Lonchura striata: one gene and its partners. The protein of the gene in region 2 interacts with the protein of the main gene of each other region in a biochemical or structural test. Links are inferred from orthologs where the notes say so. Each region holds a gene or a part of one and is shown on either strand. Other genes may lie near its edges.

The links.
Region 1: the proteins of MMP14 (region 2) and TIMP2 form a complex in vitro, tested with the Homo sapiens proteins (2 studies listed by BioGRID). The link is inferred for Lonchura striata from reciprocal best matches to the Homo sapiens genes MMP14 and TIMP2.
Region 3: the proteins of MMP14 (region 2) and LUM interact in a biophysical measurement, tested with the Homo sapiens proteins (2 studies listed by BioGRID and IntAct, with this or other methods). The link is inferred for Lonchura striata from reciprocal best matches to the Homo sapiens genes MMP14 and LUM.

The regions. Positions count from the first base shown.
Region 1 is NC_134621.1:11,747,582-11,755,739, forward strand, and holds the start of TIMP2 (metalloproteinase inhibitor 2), read left to right. Parts: upstream 1-5,015; 5' UTR 5,016-5,204; coding exon 5,205-5,331; intron 5,332-5,556; exon of another isoform or gene 5,557-5,721; coding exon of another isoform or gene 5,722-5,734; intron 5,735-8,158. Other genes in the region: CANT1 (soluble calcium-activated nucleotidase 1), read left to right, coding at 1-365, 605-808, 1,248-1,618. UniProt on the Homo sapiens protein: Complexes with metalloproteinases (such as collagenases) and irreversibly inactivates them by binding to their catalytic zinc cofactor. Known to act on MMP-1, MMP-2, MMP-3, MMP-7, MMP-8, MMP-9, MMP-10, MMP-13, MMP-14, MMP-15, MMP-16 and MMP-19.
Region 2 is NC_134641.1:804,889-812,399, forward strand, and holds the start of MMP14 (matrix metalloproteinase-14), read right to left. Parts: upstream 3,416-7,511; 5' UTR 3,367-3,415; coding exon 3,292-3,366; intron 1-3,291.
Region 3 is NC_134607.1:52,798,886-52,807,357, forward strand, and holds the start of LUM (lumican), read right to left. Parts: upstream 3,296-8,472; 5' UTR 3,107-3,295; intron 74-3,106; 5' UTR 54-73; coding exon 1-53.

The DNA of each region.
Region 1 (8,158 bases), on a different chromosome or scaffold from region 2:
CACCTACCCGCTGTCCCCTCCGCAGAGAAACCCCGAGGGCGTGCGCTACCGCATCGGCGTCATTGCAGACCTGGACACGCAGTCCCGGGGCTCTCAGGAGCACACCTGGTTCAGTTACCTGAAGAAGGGCTACCTGGTACTGTCAGACAGTGGGGACAGAGTGATGGTGGAGTGGGACAAGGATGAGAGCATGCTGCAGTCCCACCTGGCTGAGAAGGGCCGGGGCATGGAGCTCTCAGAGCTTGTGGTTTTCAATGGGAAGCTGTACGCAGTGGATGACCGGACAGGTGTGGTCTACCAGATCGAGGGCAATAAGGTGGTGCCTTGGGTGATCCTCCCAGATGGGGACGGCACTGTGGGCAAAGGTGAGCTCCCATTCTGCCCTGTGAAGCCCTTGGCTCTTTTCACCTGCTGGGGTGGGGCACACCTTTCCTGTGACCTCTGAGCCTGGCCAAGAGAGGGCATTTCCTGCCAAGCAACCAGCTGGCTATGTGGGGGACACTGTGCCCGGCACTGGGCTCAGGGGTGTGGGGTTTGAGGCATGTGGGACAGTCTGATGGTTACGTGCTGACTGAGCCACCTCATGCCATTCTTTCCACCACAGGCTTCAAGGCAGAGTGGCTGGCAGTGAAGGATGAGCACCTGTATGTAGGAGGACTGGGCAAGGAGTGGACCACCACCACAGGGGAAGTGGTGAATGAGAACCCCCAGTGGGTGAAGGTCATTGGCTACAAGGGTGATGTGAGCCACGAGAACTGGGTGACAAACTACAACACACTGAGGGCTGCAGCGGGGATCCGGCCCCCAGGTATGGAGTAGGGCAACCTCCTGCCACCCAATATCCCACACTCTTGATGGCTCCAGAGCCATACAGTCACCCTTCCCAGGGATGCTGGCACTGGGTGAGATTTAGAGGCTGCCAGAGGCCAGAGATCTCACCTTGTCGTGGTCGTTTTCCTCTGCTGCCTGTGCCAGGAGTATCTGAAGGGTGGCTCAGTTGTCATTGGGCCTGGCAGCTGGGCTCCCAGGCAGACTGGGATGTGCTGTGTGGCCCTGCCTGACTCTGGGAGGAACTGGGGAGCTGCTGCCAGGCAGTGGGGCAGGAGCAGGCAAAAAAGTTCATAGGGGATACCTGTGCGGGGCTGTGGGGTGTTTTGGAAGGGAAGGAGGAGAGGAGGGGGAGGGTCCCATCCTGGCGTGGCTGTGCCCCTGTGGTCTGTGTGGTCAGACTCCGCTTCCTGCCGCAGGGTACCTGATCCACGAGTCGGCCTCCTGGAGTGACACGTTGCAGCGCTGGTTCTTCCTGCCGCGCCGCGCCAGCCACGAGCGCTACAGCGAGAAGGCGGACGAGCAGCGAGGCACCAACCTGCTGCTCAGCTCCACCCAGGATTTCGGGGATGTGACAGTGGGGCGCGTGGGCGATGTGGTTCCCACCCATGGCTTCTCCTCCTTCAAGTTCATCCCGGACACGGACGACCAGATCATCGTGGCACTAAAATCTGAAGAGGACAATGGCAAGATCTCCAGCTACATCATGGCCTTCACACTGGATGGGCGCTTCCTCCTGCCTGAGACCAGGATTGGGAGCGTGAAGTACGAGGGCATTGAGTTTATTTAACAGACATCTGCAGCGAGTGGAGGCATGCGGGCAGCTTAGGGACATGGGCAGGCCCTGCAAGCCTGCTTCTAGCCCGGGGTCCATGAGGGATGTCAGGCAGTGCTCCCAGCTGTGTCCTTGGCCCTGGGCTCTCCTGTAAAGTGTTGACTGAGCTGCAGCAGGTGTGGTGCAAGTGTTTCGGCAGTGGCACCTGGTGGCAATGGACCGCCACCACAGGGTGCTCCCGGCCCCGAGACAGTGTCAGGTCCTGGAGTGCTGGTGCCTAGACAGGCCCCACTGCAGCCCTTAGTGCCCTGCCCTGAATTGCGACAGAGCCATCTGCAGTGGGTCGGTGGCTCTGGTGACGTCCCTGTTCTGGGATTGCAGCTGAGCCCCAACTCTACAGCTGTGCCTTGTGTGCCATGGGGCTCCCTGGGTGGAGGGGGATGTGCAGCCTGAGCAGGTCAGATTGTGGGGATTTCATCAGGCTTTTACTTCAGAAGCTGGATTTCCTTCCCTTTTCCCATAAGCTGGATGAGGTGATGGCTGGGGTGGCGGGTGGCCTGTTTCAGAGAAAAGTCCTGCATGGGAGGGGGTATTGTCTGTGTCCCTTTGCTCCTGTGACCACGGAGGAGGCAGCAGTTCCCTCACCACTGTGGCTGTGCCTAAGGGGCAGGGGATGATGTAAAGTGGGCCCACCCTGGCGCCATTCCCAGACCACACCCTCAAGAGGTGTGTGTGCGTGCTGGCTGTCTTCTCCGAGGCCTGGCTGCACGTGGCTCCAGCCCCAGAAATGCTTCCCGCCCCGGAACTGTCAGCTCTGGGAAGAGCTGAGCCCTGGGCAGGAACTGCTGGGAGCTGGCGACAGTGCAGCCATGCTGTCCAAGGGCTGCTGTGCTCGATGCAGGAGCAGAGGCAGGAGCTGCAGTTCTGCTTGCCAGAGCTGGCAGCAGCTGAGAAGCACTCGCAGCAGCCCAGGGCTTTGGCCAGGGAGCCCTCCCCATGCTCGCCAGCATGTTGTGAAATTGCTGCCGTAGCCTGTGGCCCCCAGGAGGAACTTGTGTTGTTTCAGAAGCCACAAGTGTCAAAGGGGCATCTGCTAGCCCCAGGACCCTTCTGACCCCTCTGACCAAGGAGGCTGTGGCTCCTGGCCTGCCCACACTGACCTGGCTCAGGTCTGCCCTGCCCCAGGTCACAGGGCAGCATATCCTCACACCAGGACCAGTGTTTGGCTCTGTTGTGTCCCCACTTTGTTTCTTTTTAACACTGCCCCTAGGGCAGGTCTGCCAGCAAGTAGGGCTTCAGAGAGCTGGCCACTATGGTTTGGGGGGCCCTTGTGCCCCCTGTATCGCTCTGCCATGCCCGGGCACTGCTCTGCTGTGGGGTCCAGCCATGCACAGGGAGGGAGAGGGGCTGTCGGTGCAGCAGTCAGGCTGTGGTTGGGTGGAGGAATCCGCAGAGTGGTTGGGGCCCTCCCAAGAACCCAGCCAGGCTGTTCCCCCCAGCCCTGTTTACAGTGTCAGCACCTCTGTGAGCCGTGCAAGCCAGACATGTGTTTTCATTTAGCCCAGACGATGACTCGGCCAGTGCTGGGCTGCACTTGTCTCTAGACAGGACCTGTCCCCAGTGCTGCAGACAGGCCTGGCTTTGGCCCCTGCACATGGCCTGGGGATCGTGGAGCACCTGGCCCAGAGCACCCAGGATGCATTTGCAGCTCACACTGGGCGCCAGCTGGCCACAGTCCATGATGCCACTCAAGCGTCACTGGCACTTGGCTTGGCAGTCTCTCCTGGCCTCACTCACCCTCCTCAGCAGCACCAACAGCTCCACAGCACCTGCTGTGATCCCAGGGCTGTGCCAGTGGCTGTCCCTGCTACTTGGTCCCTTCTTGTCCCCCGGGCCCCTGCCCGGAGCACTGCACTACCCTCAGAGCAGCAGCACCAATGCCTCAGGCAGCTGAGCCAGCAGGAGTCCTGCTGCTGCTAGGACCTCTGCAGACCATGAGCCCCACAGAGGAGTTGGCAACCTGGGTCCCCATCTCCAGGTGTCATCCAGCATCCCAGCACTGTGAGTGCTGTCAGCTCCCATGTGTTCCCTGCAGGCTCAGGCAGGGTTTGGGTCAGGTCCAGCTGCCCTGTTCTGCTGTTTCTTCTCATCCTAGAGGCTGAGCACCTCTATTATCTCCCTCTACTGCATGGCATGGCAGTGCTGTGGCAAGAGGCTGGCTCAGGAGCATATTTTGTGGCCATGGTGGTGTCTGTCCTGCCAACATATGCCCTTGCCTAGCTGTGCTTGAATGCTTGTGTCCCTGCCTGCTCCTCTAGGACAAAGGCAGTGCTGGTGAGATGGAGCACTCTCAGCAGCCAGCCAGGCACAGAGTACAGTGACAGCAGCAGCATCCTGACACCTCCACAGTGACACAGTGAGTGGGTTTGGACTGGGGTAGTCCGTTTTTCCATATTAGATGTGTAATATGGTGTAGGACAGTGTTTTGGATTTGTGTTTGGAACAGGGTTGATAACAGCAATGTTTTCATTACTGCTGAGCAGCATTTTCACAGCTTGAGGCCTTGTTCTGCTCTTCATCCCAGCAGTGAGGGGCCGGTGGGGGGCACAAAGAGTCGAGAGGGGACACAGAAGAGCTGACCCAAAGGCTATTCCACACTGTATGGAATCATACTTGGCATATAAAGCTGGGGGAAGAAGGAGGGAAAGGGGGACATTTGGAGTGGTGGTGTTTGTCTTCCCAAATCACCATCACATGCTGGAGCCCAGCTGCCCTGGGGATGGCTCAGCACCTGCCTGCCCTGGGGAGGGGTGAAAGAATTCCCTGCTTTGCTTTGCTTATGTGTGGCTTTTGCTTCACTTTTATCTCAGCCAGCAGTTTTCTCACTTTCCCCTTCCCAGTTCTCTCACTACCCCGCTGGGAAGAACGAACCAAAAGCAGCTGGGGGCTGAGCTGCCCGCTGGGGTTAAACCCCATCATGCATCCAGGATAGAGACAAGGTGGGTTTTTGGAGCTGTGCTCCAGGGCAGGAGCTGCTGCCATGGAGAGAGGCCCGAGGCCTGGGGCAGGTCGCTGTGGCACAGGACCCCCAGTGGAAGCAGGCAGGGGAACTCGGGTGTGGGATAAGCTAGGGTGGAGGGGCCGAAGGTGGGGAGGAATTCTCGTGCACAGCCAGAACTGATGCCTGTCCGACCGTCAGTTGGTCGGACACTGCTCTACTACGGGCGGGGGTCCGGGGCGGCGGGTCCAGGAGCGATGGAGCCGGGGGCTGGCGGGATGCGCCGGGGCGGGGGCGGCCGGTGCCCGCGGCGGGGGCCGTGCCGGGGCGGGAGCAGCGGTAGCGGCGAAGCCGCATCCCGCGGAGGGCGGGCGCAGCCGGGCTGGCCCCGCGCCACGCGGAGGAGGAGCAGCAGATCCCCGGAGCACGTTAAAGAGGGAGGCCGAGCGCGGCGGGGAGGAAGCGAACGGCTCCGGGAAGGCAACGGAGCGGCGGCCGCAGAGCGCCCGCCCCGGCCGGACCCAAGTTCCCGGCGGCGGCTCGGCCGGGCCCGGCGGTGGGTGCGGGATCGGGGCCGGGTGGCCGCGCCCGCAGCCCCGCACCATGCCCGCCGCGCTGCCCAGCCTGCTGGCCTGGCTGGCGGTGTTGCTGCTCGGCAGGGCCCGCCCGGCCGACGCCTGCAGCTGCTCGCCCATCCACCCGCAACAGGCCTTCTGCAACGCCGACGTAGGTGAGCGCCGCGGGGAACCCCGCCCCGAGCCCCCCGAGCCCCCCCGGCCCCGCCCGCGCCAACTTCGCGGCGGGGGAAGGACCGGAAAGTTGGCGCGGGGCGGGCGGGGAGCGGGCAGAGCCCCCCGGCCCCCGCCCGCGGCGCCCGCCGGCCCGGGGGTGTGTCGGCGGGTGCAGATGCGCGGCCGGGCGCGGTCCCTCCGTGCGGGCCATGCCCGTCCCACCCCGCACCGCCTCCCGCCGTCTCGGGGGGCCTCCCGCGCCCGGCATTGCTCCCGGGGGCGCCTCCGACGCTGCGAGGGGCGACCGGAGCGCGGCTACGCCGGGGCCGCGTCCCCACTGGTCGCTCTCCGGTGAATGACACGGGTGGGCCCGGCCTCCCCCGACTCTGATGACCCAGCGAGGTACGTGGCAGCGCGGGGTTGGGGCCCGGGGGCGACCGGGACCCTCCGAGTGCGGCCACGGCACCGGCCCGGGGCCCGGAGGAGCCCCTGTCCCTGGCAGCTGCCGCCACGGCTCGGTCACCCCTGTCTGTGCCTTACTTCCAGGCATTTCCTTTCCCCCGTCCCACTTTGTTCGGCTTGGATGCTGCTAAAAGGGAGGGCTTGGCAGCGCCGGGGTCTGGATTCCTCTTTCTATGAATAATGCCCTTATTAAATTTTAACATATGAACTGAACAGGCCGGCCCCAGTTCCCAGCACTTCCCTTCGCGGGCCCGTTCCCAGGCTCAGCTGGAGAGGTAACATTCCCAAACACTGAGGCAGCCCCAGCCTCTGGATGGCCCTGCCCTGTCCCCTGCTCCAGATCCAGGATGTTCCTCACAGGCGTCCTTTCCAGACCCCACTCCCAGCGTCTTTCCTCCGTGAGGGCAACTCCCACAGCATTTGGCTGCTGCCTCGGGTGCCCTGCCTCGCCACAAGGCGTGTTGGGGACAGGAAGGTTTTGAGACAAAATGGAGCGCTGGGTTTTTGTAGCTGCTGCTGGAGCTGGTGTCCCTAGCCCACAGGATGTCTTGTGCCTGCTCGGGCAGTGCGGCTGTGGCTTCCCATCACGCTCCTGTCAGGATCAGTTTTCGGGGCACTCGTGACTCACTGCCCGTCGTGGGGTGCCGGCTCAGCCCTGACTCAACTGCTGAGTCACTGTCTGTCTCGGCGGTCCTGGCTGTCTGCACCGTCCCCCGGGAGGGCACTGCCTCGCTGAGCTTTGATCTCCAGCTGCCCTGCTGCCCTCAACAGGTGCCCGTCCTGCAGGCACCCGGAGCCTGTCCTGCCGAGGCAGCGTCCTCCCAGGCGCGCTGCCAGCAGCGCTGGCACCTTCTGGCTGCCAGCCCAAGTCACTTGTGCAGCTTCACGTCGGCCTGAGTGAAAACAGTGCTGGGCTTGGGGACATATCAGGGGATGGTCCTGTGTGCCCTGGCCTTTTGCTGCTGCTTATCTTCCTCCTGGATGCTCTCTGGAGTTGGGATGTTCCTCAGCCAGTTCCATTCCAGCAGATGTGTGGAGCCTAGGAGAACCTGGGCCCCTGGTACTGCTAGGACCTTTTGCAGCTGCTGTGGCTGGACAGACTTGTGTCCAGGTTGGGCCCTTGCTAGAAATGTGGTGGTGTGGGGATGGCTGATGTCCTGCAGTGCTGGGTGGGTACACCAAAAGTGAATGGGCCCCAAGGCTTATGCTCAACCCTCAGTATGGGGTATCATGCTGAGCACAGTGTGGGGTCCTGGGATCTCCTCTCCATAGCATGGGCAGCACCTGCCTCATCCCCGTGACCCCTCTGGCCTTGCACCTGCCCCTGCACTTGGTCTGTCATGCAGGGGCTGGAGCAGCCCCACAGCCCAGGGCTGCACTTCCAGGTGGTGCAAGGGGAGGTAGATGTAGCTCTGCATTGGGTGGGTGGCACCTGAGGGGCTGGGGGTCATAGAGGGGCTGGGGTTGTGTCACTGGGGCGGGTGATTTAGAACCTGCCAGCCTGTGCTTGCATGTCCTAGCTCATGAGATGACCAGGGCTTTTCTGCAGGGCCCAAGGACTTGGGGCTGCCCCATCCACCATCCCTCACTGGGGCTGTGCCCAGGCTCTCTTGGGCTGCTTTGCTGCAGGAGATGCTCAGCTGCCCGGTTGTGCTACAGCAGGAAACCCAGCTCCTGCTCCATCTCTTCTGGAGCAGCGTGGGGATGTGGGGTGTGAGAGGGGGATGCTGAGCCCTTCTAGGCAAAGCTGTGGCTTTGCCCCTGCGAGGCAGCAGGCAGAGGATGGGGCCAGGAGAGAGCGGGGCTCGGTGCAGCCTGGGCTGGGGACAGCTGGATTGCACTGATCCCAGTCGTCCCTGTGCTCGGTTCCTCGGGACGGGCACGGTGAGTGTGGGGGCTGCCAGCAGCCAGCAGGGACCGGCCAGAGGAGGGGATTTGCAGGGCCGTGGTGGGAGCTGTCCCCGCGGGGGTGCAGCTGCCTGCAAACCCCGCCGAGCCTGGCGGGGCCGGTGCCCGTGCCCGGTGCCCGGTGCCGGTGCCCGGTGCCGGTGCCCGGTGCCCGGTGCCGGTGCCGGTGCCCGTGCCCGGTGCCCGTGCCCGGTGCCGCCCTGCCGAGCGCTGGCGCGGAGGGGCCGTGGGCCGAGGCGGGGGCTGCCGCTGATTGGGCTCCATCAGCTCCCGTCAGCGGCCGGGATGACGCACGCGGCCACGGCGGCGCTCGGCCCGCGGCTCCCGCGCAGCCCGGCGGGGAGCGGGACCTGCTGCCCGCGCTGCCTCTCGCCGCCCCGCAGGCACTGCCGGCCACCAGGGAGTCTCCACGGCCTTCGCTTCCTCCTCGCTGCCGGGCTGCGCTGCTCAGCCCTG
Region 2 (7,511 bases):
TTGAGTGATTTTTTTTCCTGATTGCTGATAAAAAAAAAATTGGGGAAAAAATCACTAAAAATCGGGAAAAAATAAAAAAAAATCAGAAAAAATCCCTAAAAAATCAGGAAATAATCCCTAAAAAATCAGGAAAAAAATCCCAAAAAATCGGGAAATATTTTGGGGGGATTTTCCCTGATTTTTATTTTTTCCCAATGTTTTTTGGGGGGGATTTTCCTGATTTTTGGGAGGATTTTTCCGGGTGAATTTTGGGGCAATTTTGGGCCTTTTAGGTCAAATTTTGGGGCTCCCGAGTGAAATTTTGGGGCATTTTTGGGCAATTTTGGAGTTTCTGGATGAAATTTTGGGGCTCCCGGGGGAATTTTGGGCATTTTTGGGGCAATTTTTGGCAATTTTGGACATTTTTGGGCAATTTTGGGCAATTTTTGGGCAATTTTGGGGTTCCCAGGAAAATTTTGGGGCATTTTTGAGCAATTTGGGGCATTTTTGGGCAATTTTTGGGCAATTTTGGGGATCTCGAGTGAATTTTGGGGTCCCGGGTGAATTTTGGGCAATTTTGGGGCATTTTTGGGCAATTTTGGGCAATTTTGGGCAATTTTGGGGACCTCGGGTGAATTTTGGGCCATTTTGGGACATTTTTGGGCAATTTTGGAGTTTCTGGATGAAATTTTGGGGTCCCGGGGAAATTTTGGGGCCATTTTTGGGCAATTTTGGGCAATTTTGGGGATCTTTGATGAATTTTGGGGTCCCGGGTGAATTTTGGGCAATTTTGGGGCATTTTTGAGCAATTTGGGGCAATTTTGGGCAATTTTGGGGATCCTGGGTGGATTTTGGGCATTTTTGGGCAATTTTGGGGATCTCGGGTGAATTTTGGGTGAATTTTGGGGCATTTTTGGGCAATTTGGGGCAATTTTGGGCAATTTTGGGGATCGTGGGTGAATTTTGGGCAATTTTTGGGCAATTTTGGGCAATTTTTGGGAAATTTTGGGAAATTTTGGGGCATTTCTGGGGATCCCGGGTGAATTTTGGGGTCCCAGGTCAATTTTGGGGCATTTTTGGGCAATTTGGGGCATTTTGGGCAATTTTGGGGCTCCCGGGTGAATTTTGGGCAATTTTGGGGCAATTTTGGGCAATTTTGGAGTTTCTGGATGAAATTTTGGGGTCCCGGGGGAATTTTGGGCCATTTTGGGGCAATTTTGAGCAATTTTTGGGCAAATTTGGGGCATTTCTGGGGATCCCGGGTGAATTTTGGGGTCCCGGGTGAATTTTGGGGCATTTTGGGGCATTTTTGGGGCTCCCGAATCCAATTCCGGGTCCCTCCCCCTCCCCCCCCCCCCCCCCCCGGCGTCATTTTCGGCTTTTTTGGGAATTTTTTTGGGGATAATTCTGGAAATTTTGGGCAATTTTGGGCGTGGCCGCCCCTCCCCCCCTCCCCTTCCCAAAATTTTTTAATTTTTGGGAAATTTTGGGGGAAGAAGCGGAAAATGGGGAGGGGGGGGAGGGGCGGCGGTGGCCACGTCTCGCCCCTCCCCCCCCCCGCGCGGATTTTTGGGATTTTTGGGGATTTTTTTGGGGGAAAAAACGGAAGTTTCGGCGCCTTCCCCCCAAAAAAACCCAAACCCCAAAAAAACCAAACCCAAAAAAACCCAAAAAACCCAAAAAAACCCAAAAAAAAGGGTGGGGGAGGGGCGAGAGGGAGACGTGGCGGGGGGGGGAGGGGCGGGCAAGGAAAAAGCCCCAAAATTTGGGGATTTTAACCCAAAATTTGGGGATTTTAACCCAAAATTTGGGGATTTTAACCCAAAATTTGGGGTTCTGAGCCGAAATTTGGGGATTTTACCCCAAAATTTGGGGGTCCCGATGAGAAATTTGGGGGTTCAGGGGGGAAATTTGGGGATTTTGACCCAAAATTTGGGGGTTTTTACCCAAAATTTGGGGATTTTAGCCCAAAATTTGGGGATCTTTGACCCAAAATTGGGGATTTCGACCCGAAATTTGGGGATTTCGACCCAAAATTTGGGGATTTTGACCAAAATTTGCGGATTTTTACCCAAAATTTGGGGGTCCCGAGCCGAAATTTGGAGTTTCCATCCCCAAAAAGTCGCGGAAATTTGGGGTGAAATCTCCGGATTTTGGGATTTTTGGGGGTAAAAATTCCAAATTTTGGGCAAAAAACGGAATTATTTGGGGTTTTTGGGGTGAAATCACCGGATTTTGGGTTTTTTGGGGTGAAAATTCTGGATTTTGGGTTTTTTGGGGTAAAACCAAAATAATTTGGGGTTTTTTTGGGGTGAAATCACAGGATTTTGGGTTTTTTTAGGTAAAACCGCCGGATTTTGGAAATTTTTGGGTTAAAATCGTGGGATTTTGGAATTTTTTGGGGTAAAATCACCGGATTTGGGGATTTTTTGGGTATAACCTTGGAATTTTGGGGTAAAACCGCCGGATTTTGGGGGTTTTTTTTGGGTTAAAATCGCCGGATTTTGGGTTAAACCCGCCGGATTTTGGTTTTTTTTTGGTTTAAAATCACCGGATTTTCGGGGGTTTTTTTGGGTTAAAATCGCCGGATTTGGGGATTTTTGGGTTAAAATCACCGGATTTTCGGTGGTTTTGGGGTTAAAATAGCGGAATTTTGGGTTTTTTTGGGTTAAAACCGCGGATTTGGTTTTTTTTGGGTTAAAACCGCCGGATTTTGGGGGTTTTTGGGTTAAAAGCACCGAATTTTGGGGATTTTTGGGTTAAAACCGCCGGATTTTTGGGATTTTTGGGTTAAAAACACCGAATTTTGGGGATTTTGGGGTTAAAATCGCTGGATTTGGGGATTTTTTTCGGGGGCAAAACCGCCGGATTTTGGAGTTTTTTTGGGTTAAAATCGCCGGATTTTGGAGTTTCTTGGGGTAACCCGCCGGAATTTGGGGTAAAATCCCTCGATTTTGGGTTTTTTTGGGGGTAAAAGCACCGGATTTTTGGGTTTTTTGGGGTAAAAACACCGGATTTTCGGTGTTTTTTGGGGTAAAAACACCGGATTTTCGGTGTTTTTTGGGATAAAATCACCGGATTTTCGGTGTTTTTTGGGGTAAAATCACCGGATTTTCGGTGTTTTTTGGGGTAAAATCACCGGATTTTTGGGGTTTTTTGGGGATAAAATCACCGGATTTTGGGTTTTTTTGGGGTAAAATCACCGGATTTTCGGTGTTTTTTGGGGTAAAATCACCGGATTTTTGGGGTTTTTTGGGGTAAAATCACCGGATTTTGGGTTTTTTTGGGGGGGTCCCGGGGGGGGGGTCTCACCTCGGGCGAGAAGCGGGGCTGGGGGTCGGCGGGGGGGGGGAGGACCCCCCAAAAAATCAGGAGCGCCAGGAGCATCTCCGGGAGCGGCGCTGCGATTGGGGAGGGGGAAAAAAAAGGGAAAAAAAAAAAAATCCCAAAAAAAAAAAAAAAAATCGGGGGTGGGGGGAGGGGCTTGGGGTGGGGGAGGGGCCAGCAGGGAAAAAAAAAAACCAAAAAAAACCCGATTTTTGGGTTTTTTTTGGGGTTTTTTTGGGGGGTTTTTGGGGTTTTTTTTTGGGAAAAAGGTGAGCGCCCCCTGGCGGGCGGGAGGAGCAAAGGGGCGCCCCCAAATTTTTTGGGGTTTTTTTTTTTGGGGTTTTTTTTTTTTTTGGGGGGGGTGGGGGAGGGGCAGGATGTGGTCAGCCCCTCCCCCACCCCCCCCCCCACCGGGGTCAGCTGACTGGCGGTGACGTCATCGCGGGGGGGGTGGGGGGGGCGGAGGAGTTTTTTTATTTTTTGGGGAATTTTTGGAAGGGGGAGGGGAGTGGTTTCGGATGGGGTTTTTTTTGGGAATTTTGGGTTTGTTTTTTTTTTTTTGGGATGGATTTTGGCGGGAATCCTGGATGAATTTTTTGGGAATTTGGGGCAGTTTTTTTTGTTTTTTTTTTTTGGGGGGGGGGGGGGGGGCTCCCGGCAGAATTTTGGGGAATGCTTTTGGGGGGAGATTTTTGGGAATTTCCAGGCCCCTCCCGGAGTTGTTTTTAGGGTTCCTTTGTGCCGCTAATTAAGAGCTGGGGGCGTGGCCGCGCTAATTAAAGCCAGGAATGGGCGGGGCTCGTTGCCCTTTTAAGACGGCGTTGCCCTTTTAAGGCGCCATTGCCCTTTTAAGAAGCCGTTGCCCCTTTAAGAAGCCGTTGCCCCTTTAAGAAGTCGTTGCCCTTTTAAGAAGCCGTTGCCCCTTTAAGAAGCCGTTGCCCCTTTAAGAAGCCATTGCCCTTTTAAGAAGACGTTGCCCCTTTAAGAAGCCGTTGCCCTTTTAAGAAGACGTTGCCCCTTTAAGTGGGCGTTGCCCCTTTAAGAAGCCGTTGCCCCTTTAAGAAGCCGTTGCCCTTTTAAGAAGCCGTTGCCCCTTTAAGAAGCCGTTGCCCCTTTAAGAAGCCGTTGCCCCTTTAAGAAGCCGTTGCCCTTTTAAGAAGACGTTGCCCCTTTAAGAGGGCGTTGCCCCTTTAAGGCCGAGCCTGGTGGGCCCCACCTTAAAGGTTTAAAGGCTCCGCCCCCTCCCAGTTTGGTCCCAGTCCATTCCAGTTCATCCCAGTTCATCCCAGTCCATCCCAGTCCCCTCCCAGTCCATCCCAGTTCATCCCAGTCCATCCCAGTCCCCTCCCAGTCCATCCCAGTCCATCCCAGTCCATTCCAGTTCATCCCAGTCCATCCCAGTCCCCTCCCAGTCCATCCCAGTTCATCCCAGTCCATCCCAGTCCATCCCAGTCCATCCCAGTCCATCCCAGTCCATCCCAGTCCTCCCCTCCCTGTACTGGTTTGTACTGGGAACCTTTGAGGCCCAGGGAGTTACTGGGATGAACTGGGAGTCGCTGGTTTGAACTGGGAAGGCACTGGGGCATACTGGGAGTTACTGGGAGGGTACTGGGATAAACTGGGATGAACTGGGAGGGCACTGGGCCATACTGGGAGTTACTGGGAGGGCACTGGGATAAACTGGGATGAACTGGGAGGGCACTGGTTTGAACTGGGAGGGCACTGGGCCATACTGGGAGTTACTGGGAGGGCACTGGGATAAACTGGGATGAACTGGGAGGGCACTGGGATAAACTGGGAGTCACTGGGCCGGCTTTGCCCCGCCTCTCGCTTCCCATTGGTCGACGTCTCTCATTTCCGCGCTCCTATTGGTCATCCCCGCTGTCACTCACCCATCAACCCCGCTTCCCCGCTGTTTCCCGCCCCGCGCTCCCATTGGCTCGCTGTTTCCCGCCCCGCGCTCCCATTGGCTCGCTGTTTCCCGCCCCGCGCTCCCATTGGCTGGCGCGGCGCGGGGGGCGTGTCCAGGCGCGGCTCGGCGGGAAGCCCGTAAGGGGAAGCGGCGGGGGGGGGGCGGAAATTTGGGGCAAAATTGGGCAAAAACGGGGCCGGGGAGGCCGGGGAGGAGCCGGGAAAGGCTCGCGAGGGCTCCCGGGAGGAATTTTGGGGTGGTTTAGGGCCAATCCCTGCGGTTCCGGGGCTTTTCTGAGCCAAAAACGGGAGGTGAGGGGGGACGCCGCGGACCCTGAGGGGATTGGGGGATCTTGAGGGGATTTTGGGGATCCTGAGGGGATTTGGGGGATTTTGAGGGGATTTGGGGGATCCCTGAGGGGGATTTGGGGGATCCCTGAGGGGATTTGGGGGATTTTGAGGGAATTTGGGGTGTTCTGAGGGGATTTGGGGTGTCCTGAGGGGATTTGGGGGATCCTGAGGGGATTTTGGGGATTTTGAGGGAATTTGGGGGATCCTGAGGGGATTTGGGGGATCCCTGAGGGAATTTGGGGGATCCTGAGGGGAATTTGGGGGATTTTGAGGGAATTTGGGGGATCCCTGAGGGGATTTGGGGATCTTGAGGGGATTTGGGGGATTTTGAGGGGATTTTGGGGGATCCTGAGGGGATTTTGGGGATTTTGAGGGGATTTTGGGGATTTTAAGGGGATTTTGGGGATCCCTGAGGGGATTTTGGGGATCCCTGAGGGGATTTGGGGATCCTGAGGGGGATTTGGGGGATCCTGAGGGGATTTGGGGGATTTTGAGGGGATTTGGGGGATCCTGAGAGGATTTGGGGGATCTTGAGGGGATTTGGGGGATTTTAAGGGGATTTGGGGGATTTTGAGGGGATTTGGGGGATCCTGAGAGGATTTGGGGGATTTTGAGGGGATTTTGGGGATTTTGAGGGGATTTTGGGGATTTTAAGGGGATTTTGGGGGATCCCTGAGGGGATTTTGGGGATTTTAAGGGGATTTTGGGGGATTTTGAGGGGATTTGGGGGATTTTGAGAGGATTTGGGGGATCCTGAGGGGATTTGGGGGATTTTGAGGGGATTTGGGGGATCCTGAGGGGATTTGGGGGATCCCTGAGGGAATTTGGGGATTTTGAGGGGATTTTGGGGATTTTAAGGGGATTTGGGGGATCCCTGAGGGAATTTGGGGGATCCCTGAGGGGATTTTGGGGATCCCTGAGGGAATTTGGGGGATTTTGAGGGGATTTGGGGGATCCTGAGGGGATTTGGGGGATCCTGAGGGGGATTTGGGGGATTTTGAGAGGATTTGGGGGATCCTGAGGGGATTTGGGGGATTTTGAGGGGATTTGGGGGATCCTGAGGGAATTTTGGGGATCCTGAGGGGGATTTTGGGGATCCTGAGGGATATTTGGGTGATCCTGAGGGAATTTGGGGTCCTTGATTGAATTTTGGGGTTCCCTAATTACATTTTGTGGTCCCTGATTAAAATTTGGGGGATCCCTGAGTGAATTTTGGGTGTCCCTAATTAAATTTTGTGGTCCCTGATTAAAATTTGGGGGATCCCTGAGTGAATTTTGGGGTTCCCTAATTAAATTTTGGGGTTCCCTGATTAAAATTTGGGGGATCCCTGAGTGAATTTTGGGGTTCCCTAATTAAATTTTGTGGTCCCTGATTAAAATTTGGGGGATCCCTGAGTGAATTTTGGGGTTCCCTAATTAAATTTTGGGTGTCCCTGATTAAAATTTGGGGGATCCCTGAGTGAATTTTGGGGTTCCCTAATTAAATTTTGGGTGTCCCTAATTAAACCTTGGGTGTCCCTAATTAAAATTTGGGTGTCCCTAATTAAAGTTTGGGTGTCCCTAATTAAATATTGGGTGAAGTTTGGGGTTCCCTGATTAAACTTTGGGCTCCCTAATTAAATTTTGGGTGTCCCCAATTAACTTTTGGGCTTCCTAATTAAATGTTGGGTTCCCTGATTGAATTTTAGGAATTTATAATTAAACTTTGTGCTCTCTAATTAAATATTGGGTGTCCCTAATTAAATTGTGGACTCCCTAATTGAATTTTGGGTTAATTTTGGGGTTCCCTGATAAAACTTTGGGTGTCCTTAATTAAACTTTGGGTGTCCCTAATTAAACTTCCTGTGTCCCTAATTAAATGTTGGGTTCTCTAGTTAAAATTTAAAATTTAAAATATAAATTTAATTTATTTTCATTTAATTTAACTTAAATTTAAATTTTCA
Region 3 (8,472 bases), on a different chromosome or scaffold from region 2:
CAGAAACTGCCACCAATCAACAGCAGAAAGACAGCTAGGGAGTTTAAACCCATCTTTCTAATGTGTCTTGTCCCTGTATGGTGAAAAGGAATAAACAGGATATAACATTAGTTTTTAAATCTCTCAGCAATATTTGAAATTTTACCATATAAAGATTATATTTAAAAACTAATTATGGTTCTATTTAAAGTTTTTAGTTAAGAAAACAAAATTGAGTTGTTAGCATTACATTGTTAATACTATGTTACTGTCCCTGTGGTGTATAATCTTCCTTTGCAATGCAAATTTTTTGGCCATTTTGCTGTTGTAAGTAAAACTTTTTTATATTTTTATGCATTCATTGATTAAGTTACAATACAGATGATGAAGTACAGGGTTTTTAAACTTGCCACAGAAGTTTTCAGTTTTGCTGAAGGCCACTTTCAGAGACAGTGCCACCATTTAAATTCTACCAAACATTCCTAATGTGCTGAATTGTCTCATTTCTAAACATGTGGCTATTTAAGTTTGAAAGAGACAGGGAAATTAAAACTGAGGGTAATGCTCTCATGCATTGTGTGTTGTTAAGATGTGTGTGGCTTGAAAACTCTTTTTCTCATGGATTATGGTCTGTAAAGCATGGTCCACAAATTTCATAGTCACCTAAAGAACAAATGAATAGGACTGTAAAGTATATTATCTCTAACATGCCAGCCAACTAGTATTACATATGTGTGCAGTGGATCTGAAATGACTGAATCTGACAGTGGACTTGAAATTACTGAATTTCAGATAGTGAAAATGTTCTTGCAAATTCTCTATACATCAAAGGTGTTGGTTACATTTTATGCCCATTGTAAATTAATTGAACAATGAAACACTGGCTTTACATTATTTGTTTTTCAGTTCACATACAGCAAAAGGACATTCGGTGTCCTTTGTGAGGTGACTTGACACTTAAAGGCCACAGCTTTCTCATCAGGCACTCCACAAGATGCCAATTAATCTGTGAAGACTTGTGTCTTGTTTATACTTCTTACTGGCTAGATATATGTTCTCCTGGAAAAGTAGGTCTAGAATCAATAAGGTCAGGGAGCTTACTTTGATTTTCAGTAGTAAAAGACAAGGCTACAAGTACTCAACTACTGTTCAGAGAATGAGAGGATTAAGAAAATCCTTAAAACCTTTTTTTTCTCAAGGAATTTCAGAAAGTATGTGAAGCCTGTAAACAGAGCACAAGACATTGATCTCAGATCTGGGCAGTCTTCCAGCAGAGTAAGTTAGTCTTGCTATTGGAATTGTTACACAGAGAAAGTGCAGGGCCATAGCTACAAAATTTTCTATAATTCTAAATGTCTTTGCTTCTATTGGCTTCTTAAAAGCCACATCATATTCTAGTGAGATAACAATCTCATTTAAAGCATCTCTAGGCAGGGCCTATTGATCTCATGCAGTACAGTACAAAGTCTTTTTAAAAAATGTTTTAATGTTACCTCCACTGAATAACCCATAAAGTCCTACTGCTAGATATTAAGCTGCTGTTCCCTGAAAAAGGAATCTGATTGCATATCATCTCCATGGTGTTGGTCCCATCACATTTACCTAATTACAAACCCTAGGATAATCATCAAAATATTAGTTGTCAGTGTAATTTTCTTTGCCTGTTTTTCATTACTGCGTGAGAACATACAACATAAATATGAGCTCAACCTTTAGACCCCTGCTGGTATAAATAAGTACAGCTCATCTGAAAGCAAAGACTGAAGTAAGACAATTCATCTCAAAATCCAGTCCTGTTTAGGTACTAAACACTAAAGAAAAGAAATCAAGTAATTCTGTATTCAAAGTATAAAAAGAGGGTAATGAACTCCTTGGACTACATTCTTTGGCCTTATAGTGACATTTTTTACACAACTCCTTAATTTTATAGTTTTAAAATAACATAGACATTTTAAATTAAAATTCTATTTTTCTTCTAGTTTAAAATAATATCTGTAATGCTAAGTTTCATTATTGTTATCATAGTCTTACTGTCCTTTAGAGTATAAAGTTTTACTGCTCTGCAGAACCCTAGAAGTAACTAAAAATGTTTGATAGCAAGTGTTTTGAGTAAATTTATCAAAAGATTTTAGAATTTATGTGACAATTCTGTAGTTAAAGGGCATATGGGCATCTGTGTGATATAAAATTGCAAAGTAAATAGGAAATTTATTTAACTTGTTATATTAATGCATTTCTCATTCAGGTATCTGAATGTCTCACTGTCAGAAGTGTAAAAGGTTAATAGATCATGCGTGTTTGTTGCACTGAACTACATAAATCCAAACTATAAAATCAGAATACATTCTTTGATGTTTATCTTACAACATAAACATGTTTTAATTAATTGCCTGTGCCTGTTCTAAAGAGTTGTGTTGCAAAATAACTGTGAAAATATTTGTGAAGTTGCTCAGGCAACTTGCCAGAACATATTATATGGTAAATCCATGATTTTGGGAAAATATTTGCTACATTAATGTAGAAATCCTATTCAAACTATGTTTGATCTTGTCTATATTTCCTTAATCATTAAGTTATTGTAAAACAAAATAAATATAAAATTAAGAGTCAATCAACTTTAATTCTGTATTTTAACTTCTTATACAGTTTGCAAAAGACTGTATTTTTTTAAAGTTTCACTGGTGTATTTAAAATATGCTTTAAAACTGATTAGAAATTTAAAAAATACCTAGTGTTTCCCTCTCATTGTTTATGTGATTAATTATTTAAATATCAGGATACGTTGTCTTTTTCTAGAATGAAGCAAAATGATTTAGCAAATGGGGTTTATGAAGCTCTCACTATTATGAATGGAAAAATAAACACTGAGTACTCTTACAAACTTCTTTGTACTGTATGTCAAATCTTATTCTGATGTAGAACAAAACAGACTGTAAAAAACTGCAACACTGATGTACAAAATATGTGAAGCTGTTTTAAGGAAACTAAGAAAGTGAATCGACAGTGAAACTGTTGATTTGTGCTCAATTTACAAATTGGCAAACTTATCCTGTCATGTTTTCATGTTCCCATTGCAGCTACATTTAAACAGCTGAACATTACGGTTAAAGCATGCAGCAGCACTTACCTTACTGCCTTGTAGCTGCTTTCCTTAATTCCCAGAGCAGATGCAATAAGAGGCTGTATCGACCAATATATGCTCTAAACAGTGTCAGGAGGTAAAAGTCTGCCAGATCCTCTGTGTTACAAGAGGGAAAAAAAAAGCCCTAGTCACGCTGTTCTCTGAAGCTGCTATGTCATCATGGTGATCTTGTGGTGTGGCATGTACAAAAATGCAGCTCTCTAATGAACTGCAGGTGGATACCATATTTTGTGCAAGGACAACCCATCAGTTTCTCCTGTGGGATCAGAGAATGATGTTTCACAAACCTGAGAAAGTTAAAAAGCCATAGGTTTATACAAGATTTTTTTTTTTATTTTAGAGAGAAAACGTGTTATTTTGTAAAATAAATTGCAAACAGGCTTTTGTTTTCCAACTTATTTTATACTGCTAGACATGAGCTAACACATAGCACTCAGACCTCAATGCTGCTGTTCTTCTTCAGCCAAGTGACTCATTCATTTTCTGCCTTTTTCTTTAACTGTCTTATGACCACAGTAAAATATCCTTAATGAAAACTTTAGCCTAAGGATCAGATTCAAAATTATCTTTGAATCATACCCTTTTCCACATTACATACTGAGTTCAAAGATTCTTCTACAAATCGGTGAAATTGATTTGGTCTGGAGATTTTCTTTGGTGGTTGAATGTGTGTTTGTTTAATAAAGATACATCCCAGGAATGGGTTTTGAGCAGTTACTGTAAATTCACTCCATACATTTGTTCATTTTGCACTTACAGTTTTCTCCTGCTTCTCAGTATCTGGAACTACTCAGCTTTATGTTGTCTGTTTCTTATTCCATGGATGTAGTTCAAGAATGCATCTTAATGCTTGGATGAGATGTTACTTTCACCAGGCTATGTAGAAAAATAATATATTCATAAAATAACAGTTTAAAGTGGAACTTAATGCTTCCATAAGAACTTTCCCTTATCTCTAAATGGAGGATGTCTTCCTTTTTATGAGAAACATAATTTTTTTTATAGATTTGGGTAGGGACAAATGTCAAATGTGCATATAGAAAGCATTCACAAGCCATTTTAAAGTGTCTTGTGTGTTTAATTGCATTTGACTGTAATTTCTGGGGTAGAAAGTCAGAGATTTTGTCCATTTTCAACTTATTATCTTTATGAAAAATGGTAGTACAGAATGTGTCTGGGCTGGAGAACCCTATCAGTTTGCTGAAGAGAAGCCTGAATATGAGCTTCTCCCAAAATTTGCTGCTGATGTGTCTCAGTCTCCAGAGCAGTGAAGGCTACTGGGAGCAGGGAAAAGCCAGTGTCCTTCACCAATAACAGGAAAGAGAACAAACACTTAAAGACCTCTGTGCTTCTGCAATGCCCCAATTAGCAAACAATTTGCTCAACACAGTGCAATGTTATGCTTTTGAAGTTCCCTGGTGTTAGAGAACCATTTACACTCTGGGAAACACGCTGGTGACAGATTGTTACTGCATTACTGCTTGATTGGTGCCAAAAAGTGAATGTGAAGCAGTGGGATTACAATAGTGAATTAATCTAAGTGAAAAACTGCATGGTATTAGGACTCGAAATGTAGAAGTGGACAAAGCTCCTGTTGTTCTGCATGTAGACAAATGGAGACCAGATGGGGTTTCTCATACACAGAATGATATTTATCTGAAAACTACTTCATTAGCTTTAGTTGACCAAGGAAACCTCAACTGTGACTTGACAGCAAATGTAGCAACAAGCAACACTTAGCAAGAGATCAGTTGGAATAAAAAAATATTTTTCATGCAGAAAGAGATAACCTTTAAGGTAATATCAATATTTGCTCTATGGAAGAATACATAACAAGGTGAGCAATGGAGCATAGTATTTGTAAAGAGAATTTAAAAATCACAGGAAAGACATTAATTGTGCTTTCTCTGACTATAGATTTGTTTAGAAGGAAAAGCCAAATATTATGATAAATTAATGTATATTTTGATCCCTCAGTAATAACTATAGTTTTGCATTTGCAGTACAAATAGAATTGAACATTGTCTGCAAGTACAAGATAATCCAGGCTTAATATGCTTTTGGCACAGTTGTATTTATGAACCAGTTTTTCTGTATATCAAGTATACATCCTTTTTCACACTCTGATAACAGAAATACAAAACATGCATATCTTTTTAGCTTACAAAACTTATTAAGCAAGCATATTTTGAAATTAACATAGTAAAAGCTTGGGTCACATAAAGTTCAGCTGAGACTTGTTCATTCATATAGTTCCTGTCTTGCTGACTGTTTTAAATTAACTATGGAAATTGCACAGTCAAGATGAAGAATCACATACCTTCTGAGGTTAAGATAAAAAACAATAGATTTTCTTTCCCTTTTAATAAGATTTTTATTGTCTCTCCAATCTGTATTTAATACTGCCCTTTGGCATAATTTTTATGCTTTTCCAAATCTTACTGTTCTAACTCATGGAGCTATCACCTCATAAACCTGTTTGGGAGAGCAGGTAGGTACTACAACCCAGCAAATAAAGGTATTGCTTCTTCTGCAACAGAGGGTGGGACTGTGGTTGGGTGATTTCTTTGTTTCTGGTCCTATTTTGTATTCTGTGCAGTAGTTCTTTTTGTAGCTCTCAGAAGTCATTAAACAGCATGTGAATGAAGTCTAGCTAATTTCCAAGGAATACACAAAATAATATATAAATTCACCTGTGTCATCGAAGTTGTAAACTGGTTATGAATATGCTTCATCCTGATGATGTCAGGACATATTAATATTTCATCTTTACAACTACTGTGTTGCAGTTTTTCTTCAAAATTTGTTTTCTTTTGTACCTTAATTATTCATCTTTCTCCGATGGGAAATATGATCAAAAGCTATTATAATCTAATTTTCTTTGACTTGTGATTATGAATAGAAATATTTCTTTTATGTAATACAAAGCTCCTTTGTGATTTTTTTTTTTTTTTTTTAATTCATATTTTCATGGCTGGAGATGCGCCAAGTCTAATGGGTTGTAATGAAAGAATCTGAAAGCAGGGCTCACTGCAAGTAAATTTGCACTGGCTGAGATCTAGCTGTCAAATATTGTCAAGTTACAGTGTCATCATTTTGTTTCTACACTCATCAGTGATACCCTCTCTTCTTTTTCTCTCTTGCAAAAATGCCTTCTTTATAGCTTCTTTGCACTTCTGCATAAATGGAAGTGCCTCACAATCAATTTGGATTTAATACCCTTTTCCCCAAAAGACTTAGGTTACCAAAGCTTAATAGATACTATCTAAACCAACTGATGTTTTATTTTCACCTTAAACCTGTGCACACATCTGGAACACAGAACCAAGAGAATTGGGTACCCAGTAGCAGGACTAAGGTATTATTGACATGGGAAGATAAAGCTCCAGAAAAATTCCTTGTGGAACTTTTCACACTGCCACATGAAATTAACAATGGTGGTTTTCCTCTGATCACTCAGAATTTAAATTAAATATTACTCTCAAGATTAAATGAAGGTTAGCTCATTTTATTTGGCTGCCCACAGCAGGGGTTAAGAAACCTCCATTAAGGGAAAAGGCTGTTCCATGGACACCATGCAGCAAGTCACTTAAAGAGGCAACATAATGTTTATATATGATGTTTTCTATGCCTCTAATTATACAGCCTGTTAGCCTACATATGGTGAATAAACAAAAATATGACATTGGCACATATCTCCAGGAACAATTAGTTAAGTATTTCTGTAAAACTCTGGAGCATTTTGAAAATATTACTGAAGACTGACTCATATTTAATGTGTTCTACTAAAAACAATTTAATTCCAGGTTCTGAAGGTTGTAGGTGCTTATTTTTTTCATCTGAAAACTTCCATTCTTCATCCTAATTGAATTTTTTTTTTTTCAGCCTCTACACTGGACTTACATGTTGAATGGAAAGTGTTAGAGCACATACTATAAGCATTACAAAATTTGTGGTGATCCAAATCCTTCTTTTCCTTTCTCCTAAAAAGGAAATACCAGCTACGGAAACTTACAAAAATGGTAACAGTGTTACAACCTATTAGCAGACCGCAACAGATATTTTAGTTAGCACAAATCCTTGTTTTTGTCCTTCTGAAAGACTGTTTTGCTTCAAAGCCGATAGTGTCTATATTCTAGTAGTGTTATTCTCCTCTCTGTTGCTTTTCAGACTGTTTTTGATTTGATTCAAATAGTCAACAGCAAAATTTCTTTGAGCTGATCCAAAGTTTGATCAAAACTTTTCTTTTTGATGAGGACTAAACATGAGGGCAAGAGTCTGTTTTTAAACCAGACTTCTTAATATATCCTGTAGGTTTTATCATAACATTTAAAATCTGCTGATCCATGTATAATAGAAAATTAGGTGGCCTTGGAGCATGAGACAATTCAAATGATTCCTAATGTAAAGAATCTAAGAGTATCTCAAGGAGCTGTTGAATTTGTGGGTACATTGTGGTTACAAGTAAAAATTTTAGCAACATGTCTGTATTTCTGTATTGTAAACAGTACAGATAATGAATGGAAAAGTTGGACTTGGTCAACTTAGTTTACCACCTATTATTTGTATATGCTAATGTTGTATTAACATACACTTCATTTGAAAATCATTGGATGCTAAACACCTTCCCAGAATCTAAGCATTATCAATGTCAGTTTGCATTCAGATCACTACAGCTTAAGGTCAGAAGAGATGTTAAAACATCTGGATTCTGCTGTACAACAATAATATAGCATTCGTCCTTCTGCTAGTTTATGTGACCTTGGAGTTAAACAGATCCCCTAAGTCATAATTCGTCTTTGCCATGACAGTGGGACAGTTTGGGAGCCACTTAATATGCAGCTTTTAAAAATACTTCCCACTGTCATTTCTAAAATGAAGCACCTTGGACAAATCCATGGCAATCATTGGCTACCTATTAGTATTTATTTTGAAATTAGCTGTCTTAGCTGTCACTTAGTTCATTACCTCCTGAATGCTGTGTGAGATTTTTACATTATTTTCCCTAGGACTGGTGGCAGATTAAGAACCTTGATGAAGAGACAGCACTTACCTATTTAAAATCCATGAACAGTAACACCACATCAGTGTTCTGGTATTCCCAGGTCCATAAAAATGGACTGTAAATGAACTAAACTATTATTAAATGTCTTCCTGAGATGTTTAAGTACAAACTATTATGACAGCCAAATCTAAAAGTATTTCTCATTATCAAATATTTTTGTTTTTTTTTTTTCTTTAGAAAGAACATGATATAATAAAAATACATCAGTCTGAACAAACAGATCTTTCCAAATGCAGCAAACAATGATTATTTTTATTCATACTCCATTGCTAACCATTGGCTTGTG